Oryzias latipes: one gene and its partner. The protein of the gene in region 1 interacts with the protein of each later gene in a pairwise test. Links are inferred from orthologs where the notes say so. Each region holds a gene or a part of one and is shown on either strand. Other genes may lie near its edges.

Region 1 (3,753 bases):
TTTTCTCCTCACAGGTTTTACATTTGACACAATAGATATATTCTTTACAAAAACAAAACTATCTTTATCCAACAGTGGTTTGATAATAATATCAGACTAGTTAGTCAATTATTCAATCAACAAGGTCAACTTTACACTTACACCGAATTCCTTCAGTTCTACCAGATCCCTGTTTCTATGAAGGACTTTTCGGTTGTTTTTGATGCCGTTTCCCTCAACCTCACCTATCTTTATAAAGGAACTCCTACTCCATCTGCTCCCCAACCACAGCTTCATGTGACAGACACTGCTGTCGGAAAACTCTGCTTCTCTGCTTTGAGAAATCAAAACAAAACCATCCGAAGACTGTTCCAGCAGGAGCTCAAAACTGAATCCCCGGCCATAACTTTCTGGACTTCACTTCATGGTCAAATGTGTTGGGAAAAGGTTTGGCTTCTGCCAAACAAATATCTTCTAAACAACAAAGTGAAAGAGGTTTCATTCAAGATCATTCATAGGTTTTATCCAACAAATCAGTATATGCAAAGGCTAAAAAGGGATATTGATAAAAACTGTTTTTTCTGTTCTCAGTCTGAGGAAACGTTGGTGCATATTTTTTGGACCTGCAAGTACACTGAAAAAATATGGGACAAAATGACAAATTTGATAAAAACTCAAATTTATCCACATTTTAATTTAACCTGGAAAAACATCTTATTTGGTTACATTAATTATGATAAGACATTTTTATCTCAATTTTATTTAATAAATCTTCTAATTTTATTAACCAAGTATTATATTCACAAATCTAAATTCAGCAATAAAGCTCCTAATTTTCTTGATTTACTAGCCCAAGTTAGATGTTACTTACATTCCATTTCCCCCAGTACAAACAAAAAAGCTATTAAAACGTATCACCTTGCTCAGCTGTATAATTTAGTGTAAGTTTATTTTTTTGCTTGCATATCCCCTGGCGTTTATTTTGAACATTTGATGTACAGCTTATTGTTCCTTGTTCTTTTGCTGTATGTCACTTTTGTTCTGCATCAATAAAAAAAAAAAAAAAAAAATTTCCGGGTTGGCTCCATAACTTCCGCTTAGCGACGCATGCTCAGTCTCACTGCGTTTTACGTCTTTGATGTGGACCGGCATTTTCCCACAACACACTGCAGCAGCTTACACCAACGACGAAAATGGCGGACAACTGTTCTTCGGTAGGTTATGGAAACGTATATTATTGTTTTTAAAAATAACAGCTACTATTGGATACTAACATCTGCTGTTTTATCAACAGGTCGAAATTGTGGAAGGCTGTCGCCTCCCCGTTCTTCGTAAAAACCAGGAACATGAGGATGAGTGGCGTAAGTACTTTTCGTTCGTGCTTAGAGCTAAGCTAATGCTAACTAACAAACAAATATGACGGCCTTCAAAAAAACCTTAAAAACAAATTCAGATAAAATGCAGTGACTGCTATGGTAGAAACTGTTCGTTTAGGTCTAAATTGCTTTGTTACTTCTTTATTTGTGTTTTTGGGCTGGAAATCATTTAGTCGCAATGTTTAAACACTAGAAATTTAGATAAGTCTGAATTACATTTTGCTTTTCAAAAGCCCTACATTTTAAATTACGAATTTAAAAAAAGGTTGAGTTTCATACGCAAGGATTGTATAAATTGTGATAATTCACTGCTGTCCAGTACAGTTCATCATGTAGACATGAGAGCTGAAGTTAAAGATGACAATGTTTTTTCTTAAAAGAGCATAAGTTCATCTAGTTTGTTGAATTCCTGAGGTAGTTCCAAGCTATTTAAATCAAAGTACTAGCTTTGTTACACATCATCAGTGTGATTAAAGTAAGCAATACCCATTTTTATCTTGGCGCTAAAAAGCAAAACCACTCTTGCACTAATTATAACTGTGAATGTTCATTTTCCACTTGAATTAAGATAAAATAGCTGTGTGTTTACTTTGTAAATAGTATTTATAATTTCTTTTCTACTTGTGCAGCTTTGGCTGAGATCCTGAGTTTGAAGGAGGTTTCTGGAAGAAAGCTGTTCTATGTTCACTACATTGACTGTGAGTAAAGCAAAGTTCATCTTTCCTGTTTCACTATCATTAAAGAAAGCTTAGACTTTTCATTCATGTCATTGTTTCAGAAAAAACAAAAGTGATTCCAAACACATAAAGAACGTTCTAGTTTCGGTCGTGTTTCATATGGACGGAAAAAAATAATCTTTTCATAACAGTTGGTCTTTTAGTTGGTAATGTAAAATTGTGTGTGTCTGCAGTCAACAAGCGCTTGGATGAATGGGTCACAGCAGACAGGCTGGACATGAAGAAGCTCCAGTTTCCCAAAAAAGAAGCAAAAACACCCACAAAGAATGGACTGTCAGGCTCGCGTCCTAGCTCACCAGAAAGAGCAGAAAGAGAAGTAGTACCAGTAAGTTTACCCTTGAAGATTCATAATAAAGCATTAGTAAACTACATTTAAATGTTTACGGCAGTTCCCCAACAGTACTGTTGGAAAACAGTTGGTTGTGAAAGACTATTTTCATTGACTGCTTAGTTTCCATCTTATTGAAGTTGAGTTTTTTTTTGATAAAAAATTGAATCTACAGGTTTTTTTTCCAGTCACAAAAACAAAACATACTTGCATACTTGCCAGGCTTGTTTTTAGGACCTTTTTTTTTTTTATCATAATCTGTTTCTGTTTTATGAGTGTTGTCAAGCACTACATATATATAGTGTATATATATAGTTATATATAGTTGGAAAGTTTTGTCTGTATGCTGTTAAGTCTGGTTTTCTTTTGAAAATGTGTCTTTGCTCACTATTTCAAGGGCCACACACAATCACAACAAAAGCATGAACGGCAAAAGCATGAATGGCATCTCTGGGTTTTTTGTAAGTCAGTTGGTAAAGCAGCTTCTGCAGTCTCCTGCTCATTCTGTCTGATGAAAAACAGACAGACCAGGTTTATGTCGACACTCAGCAATGTCGGTCATCTGCAACATATTTGGGTTAGGTGTTTTGCAGACAAAATCCTTCTTGAACAGCATGCATTGACAATAGTTGCTGCCCTGTTTCTCTTCTAAATGACACAGGCTATAAACTTAAGTAGATTAGAATTCTTCCTTTAGCTTCAAAGCAGAGAAACAAAATGGTTAAAAATCAAATTCAACAAAGCAAATGTTCAAGATTTATTTGATGCTTTACTCAAGATGCCTCTGATACAAATATAACTAAAATTGGAATAAAATGATATTGTTGAATCAATTGTTACTTAAAAAAATGAATAGTTCTCATAATTAAATGGATAAATAACGCCCCGTAGAGTTGATATTGACTCTCTCCTTAAAACTCAACCCTCACACTTTATTTGAGCTGTGGACTCTCTTTAAAGTTTGAAATTTTGCCAGTTAAAGTTTAATGTTATTATAATTTCAGGGGGGGGTTGTCTCTAAATTACCTAAATCACTGCGCTGTCTGCTTTCTCTTCAAACTGTGCTCTGTGAGGTGACTGCATAACAGTGAGGATTCATGTTTCAGTCCATGTTTCAGACTTATTTTCTAGAACCAAAGTATGGTGGCACCGGAGAGCTATCCCTAAAACTGAGACTCAGTTTGGTCAAAGTTGTCTGTCTGAGAGCACAAGGAGTAGCAAACAGATGTTGGGGCTGACGGGGCAAAATGCAACAGCACAGCACTCTGCAATATTCATGTTAATTACTATAATATTTTATAATTTATTCATGTAAATGCTGTGCCTAAAAAAG
Region 2 (3,753 bases), on another chromosome or scaffold:
CATTCAGCAGCAAAAATCGTTTAATGGAGCGTCTGCTCTCACCATCAGGCCCTCAACAATGCCGAAGTTGTCGTGGACGACTTTGGCCAAGGGGGCCAGACAGTTTGTTGTGCAGGACGCATTGCTTTGAAAAGCAGAAACATTGGCGTCAGAGCTGTAAGATCCAAAAATGGACGGTCCTTTTGTAGATTAAAAGTCATCTTACCTGACAACCGTGAGAGAGTTGTCGTACTTCTCGTGGTTGACTCCCATGACGAACATGGGGGCATCTGCGCTGGGTGCAGAGATGATAACTCTCTTGGCACCGCCCTTCAAGTGAGCCTGCATTTTGGGATTTAAAGAGGATTATTCCGCATTTGCTTGATCCAAAAATAAATAAATAAATAAAAATCATGATATCCAGAGGGGAGCATACATACAGAGGCCTTCTCAATGGTAGTAAACACACCGGTGGACTCCACAACATACTGGGCACCGGCCTCACCCCATTTAATGTTAGTAGGGTCCCTCCTGCAAAGAAAAATCCAATCACTTTCTTTTAGTCGTCCTAAAAAGTAATCACTGATTATTAAATACTGGCACATTAACTCACTCATGGAAGACGGTGATCTGGTGTCCATCAATGACTAGTTTGCCTCCCTCAGCCTTGACCTCACCCTTGAAGCGGTTGTGGGTGGAGTCATACTTGAACATGTAGACCTTAAAACAAAAATAACTTGAATACAAGATCTCCCCCCCCCCCCCCCCCCATTTAATTTAAGACTTAATGTCTTTCACTCACCATGTAGTCCAGGTCAATGAACGGGTCATTGATGGCCACAATCTCCACCTTTTTAGAGGTGAAAGCAGCTCGGGTCACCAGACGGCCGATACGGCCAAAACTGAAATGTGGAAGGACAAGTATCAGTCTGGCCTCTAGATGGCGTCCTGAGGCCATCTAATCTGTGCAGTTATGTCTGAGTGGCAGTGACATAAAGGGGCCAATGCCTAATAACCTGAAATCATTCAGTAAGGGACGCTAGTGCTGACTTTCAGGTGAACCCGAGCAAACGCGGTTCACTGAAAGAACCCCATTTTGTTTCCTTCCTTCACGTTGGCTTATGCATAACATCCCAGGAGACATGAATCTGCAGTCAGATAAAGGGCAGAGCTCATGAGGAGGGGCTGCATGCCGCTCAAATGCTCACACGCCCCTTTCTGGGGGCAAAAGTCAGAAGAACCGCCAGTGTGTTAATCCTGATGACGCCACAGCTGCGGTTTGATCAATGGTCGGGTTACTTTTTAACCACAGTCCTGAAAACCTGGTCTAAAACAGAGGCCAGCAGGACTGGCAGATAACACTAAAGATTCAGGATTGTGATAGTTCAATATCCAATGAGATATTCAGCTTCATTTCTACTCAATTCCAAGAGTAGAAGAAAACGTCTGTCCAGTTGAAGGGGTGAAACAAACTCAAAGTTTTCTACCAAAAGGCCAAAGTTCAGAGATTGAGAGAAAACAAAAAACATCCAGATGGCGCAAAGGTTTGTTCAAATGCATCAGGGGACACTTGTTGCTTCAGATGTTGCACACCACCTTCAAATTGGATGCCAATTGCTTCAGCTCCATGTACGTCTTGATCGCCAGGGAAAATTAAAAACTCTTTAGTAAACCAGAGCTTGTTCTTTAAATCAAGTGTCCTCAAGGTTTCTTGGAACTCTGCTAAAGTTAGTCTGAACATTCAGAGTTTCATTAAGAGATCCTTATTTTAAGAAATCAAACAATTCAGGGAACGTTTTGCAAAACCACTCCAGGAATGTATTAAAAAAATAAAATGATTAAAAAGGAAATATTTGAAGTGCATCAAGAACAATGTGGCATTGTGAGCTTGAAGTGTTGAGAAAAAGCTCTTACCCATTGATACCAACTTTCACCATTTTAGCCTGGGTTGATCTTTAGTCCTCTGTGAGATTAAAGAATAACAATTTAAAAAAAACATCCTTTAGAAATCTATGCAACAAATATTTTTTTTAAAATCACACATCATTTGGGCAGAAAGATGAGCAGAAGGCCTCAAACATTCATGCAAGTCCTTTTTTTTTGGATCACTTTGATTGCTGCAACTTCTCCATGACACTTTACAACTTTCTAAACAGCTTCAATCAAGCAGAAACAAAGCAAAGTGACTGTTTTGCATCAATTGTCTCCAGGTGATTTCAATGAAAGAGTCATGCTGCCAGAAACAGCTGAAGCCTTTACCGTTTGTGAGACGCTTCTGTCTGTCTTGCGACTCCGGGTGTGAGTGGGGAAGAGCAAAGTTTGGTTGGGAGTATTTATGATGGCCCCCTCAGGACAAAGCCACACCCCTTAATGGTCACCGATCCTCACCCCGCCCCCTGTGAATGTCAAGGTCGTTAGCTGCTCAGACACAGGCTCTGAAATCCCATTTTTGTCAAGCTCCTTTCAATTCTTCTTCATATTTAACTTTTAATTACAGTCCTAACTCTTTAGAGCATTTATTCTAATTCAAAATATGTGCTGTCAGTTTAGTCTGAAGCATTTGGAGGTCCTGATTTAGATCCTCCAGCTGAAAAAAGAGAGGGGTCCCTGCTGACCTTCTCACTGAATGCAGACACATGGAGAGAGCAAATGGGGGATCAAATCTCTGGCTTAGTGACGCTGACATTTAATGTTCAAAGACCATGACCCTTCACTTGAATGGTTCTGTTGCCGTGCCTCTTTTTCTGCCGTTTTATCCCCTCAGCTCAAGTCAAAAGTTGAAACTCAGTTGCTCAACTTGAGTCGTGCAGAGGAACTTGTCGGAGTCAGTTTGCTCACCTGAACTGTGACTTTTGTGTGGACATTTGGAAACGGCTCTATAGTAAAACTTTATCTTGAAAGTGCTGCAGCTAAGGAATCTGCAAGAGCACATTTTATCTTTTAGAGATTAATAATCTTTGCTTTCTTCACCAGTCTCAAAACACAACAAGGCTCAGGCATGCCAGCTGCCTTCCGAAGTCTATTTTTGACTCCCTGTTCTGTCAACAATGTTGACATCAGAAAGAAAAGATCTCCCAAGATTACGGTGTTAGATTTTCCCCACGTGTTGCACAAGCAGACCAGACCCGACAAACGCTCGCTTAGATTTCCTCTGCATGTTTCAGCAGGCTGCAGAGACGGTTCTCTGCTCTGAAGCTGAGCAGCAACGGCGGGTTTGGTGGCAGACGTCCAGTGGTCCTGGCATAGCTGAACTATCACAACCCCTCCGAGTGCAAGCATGCCAGTCCCAGCCGCCGCTTTACAGCTTAAGGTCAAAGAAGGGACGCAAAGGTCAAGCTAAGATTAGATTGCAGCGAGTCAAACTCATGATCCATGATATACTCAGTGCTGCAAGTGCTGCCTCGTGGTGATCTTCTTTTGTCTGTTTCACAACAGTTCAAGCACCTCGACGTTTGAGTCGGAACGAAACTGATGCATTGATTTTAGAGAAAAACATGGAAACATTTCATGACATAAATTGGACTCGTTAGTCCTCTGTGTTCATACTGACTCGCTACAAACATCTGCAGAAACATCAGTGGTAAACTTCTAAGCTGTAAAGACGGGACTTTGTGATTGCGTTCATGTAAAAAGGTGCTTTTAGGTACATTTGTGCAACTTGTGTTCTGTCTGGTACAAAGTCCAGCCTGCAGAGATGTGCAATAATAGCTAGGAACAAACAAACTCATACTGCCATCTTGTGTTGCAGCAAGAAACACTTATTTTCTACATTTT

What was found.
Region 2: the proteins of kat5 (region 1) and gapdh interact in binary tests that used the Homo sapiens proteins (3 or more experiments, as listed by UniProt). The link is inferred for Oryzias latipes from reciprocal best matches to the Homo sapiens genes KAT5 and GAPDH.

The regions. Positions count from the first base shown.
Region 1 is NC_019872.2:15,162,162-15,165,914, reverse strand, and holds the start of kat5 (histone acetyltransferase KAT5), read left to right. Parts: upstream 1-1,073; 5' UTR 1,074-1,172; coding exon 1,173-1,193; intron 1,194-1,273; coding exon 1,274-1,340; intron 1,341-1,984; coding exon 1,985-2,053; intron 2,054-2,265; coding exon 2,266-2,417; intron 2,418-3,753. UniProt on the Homo sapiens protein: Catalytic subunit of the NuA4 histone acetyltransferase complex, a multiprotein complex involved in transcriptional activation of select genes principally by acetylation of nucleosomal histones H2A and H4.
Region 2 is NC_019874.2:20,246,186-20,249,938, reverse strand, and holds the start of gapdh (glyceraldehyde-3-phosphate dehydrogenase), read right to left. Parts: upstream 2,322-3,753; 5' UTR 2,239-2,321; intron 1,943-2,238; 5' UTR 1,917-1,942; coding exon 1,894-1,916; intron 882-1,893; coding exon 782-881; intron 700-781; coding exon 593-699; intron 511-592; coding exon 420-510; intron 322-419; coding exon 206-321; intron 125-205; coding exon 43-124; intron 1-42. UniProt on the Homo sapiens protein: Has both glyceraldehyde-3-phosphate dehydrogenase and nitrosylase activities, thereby playing a role in glycolysis and nuclear functions, respectively.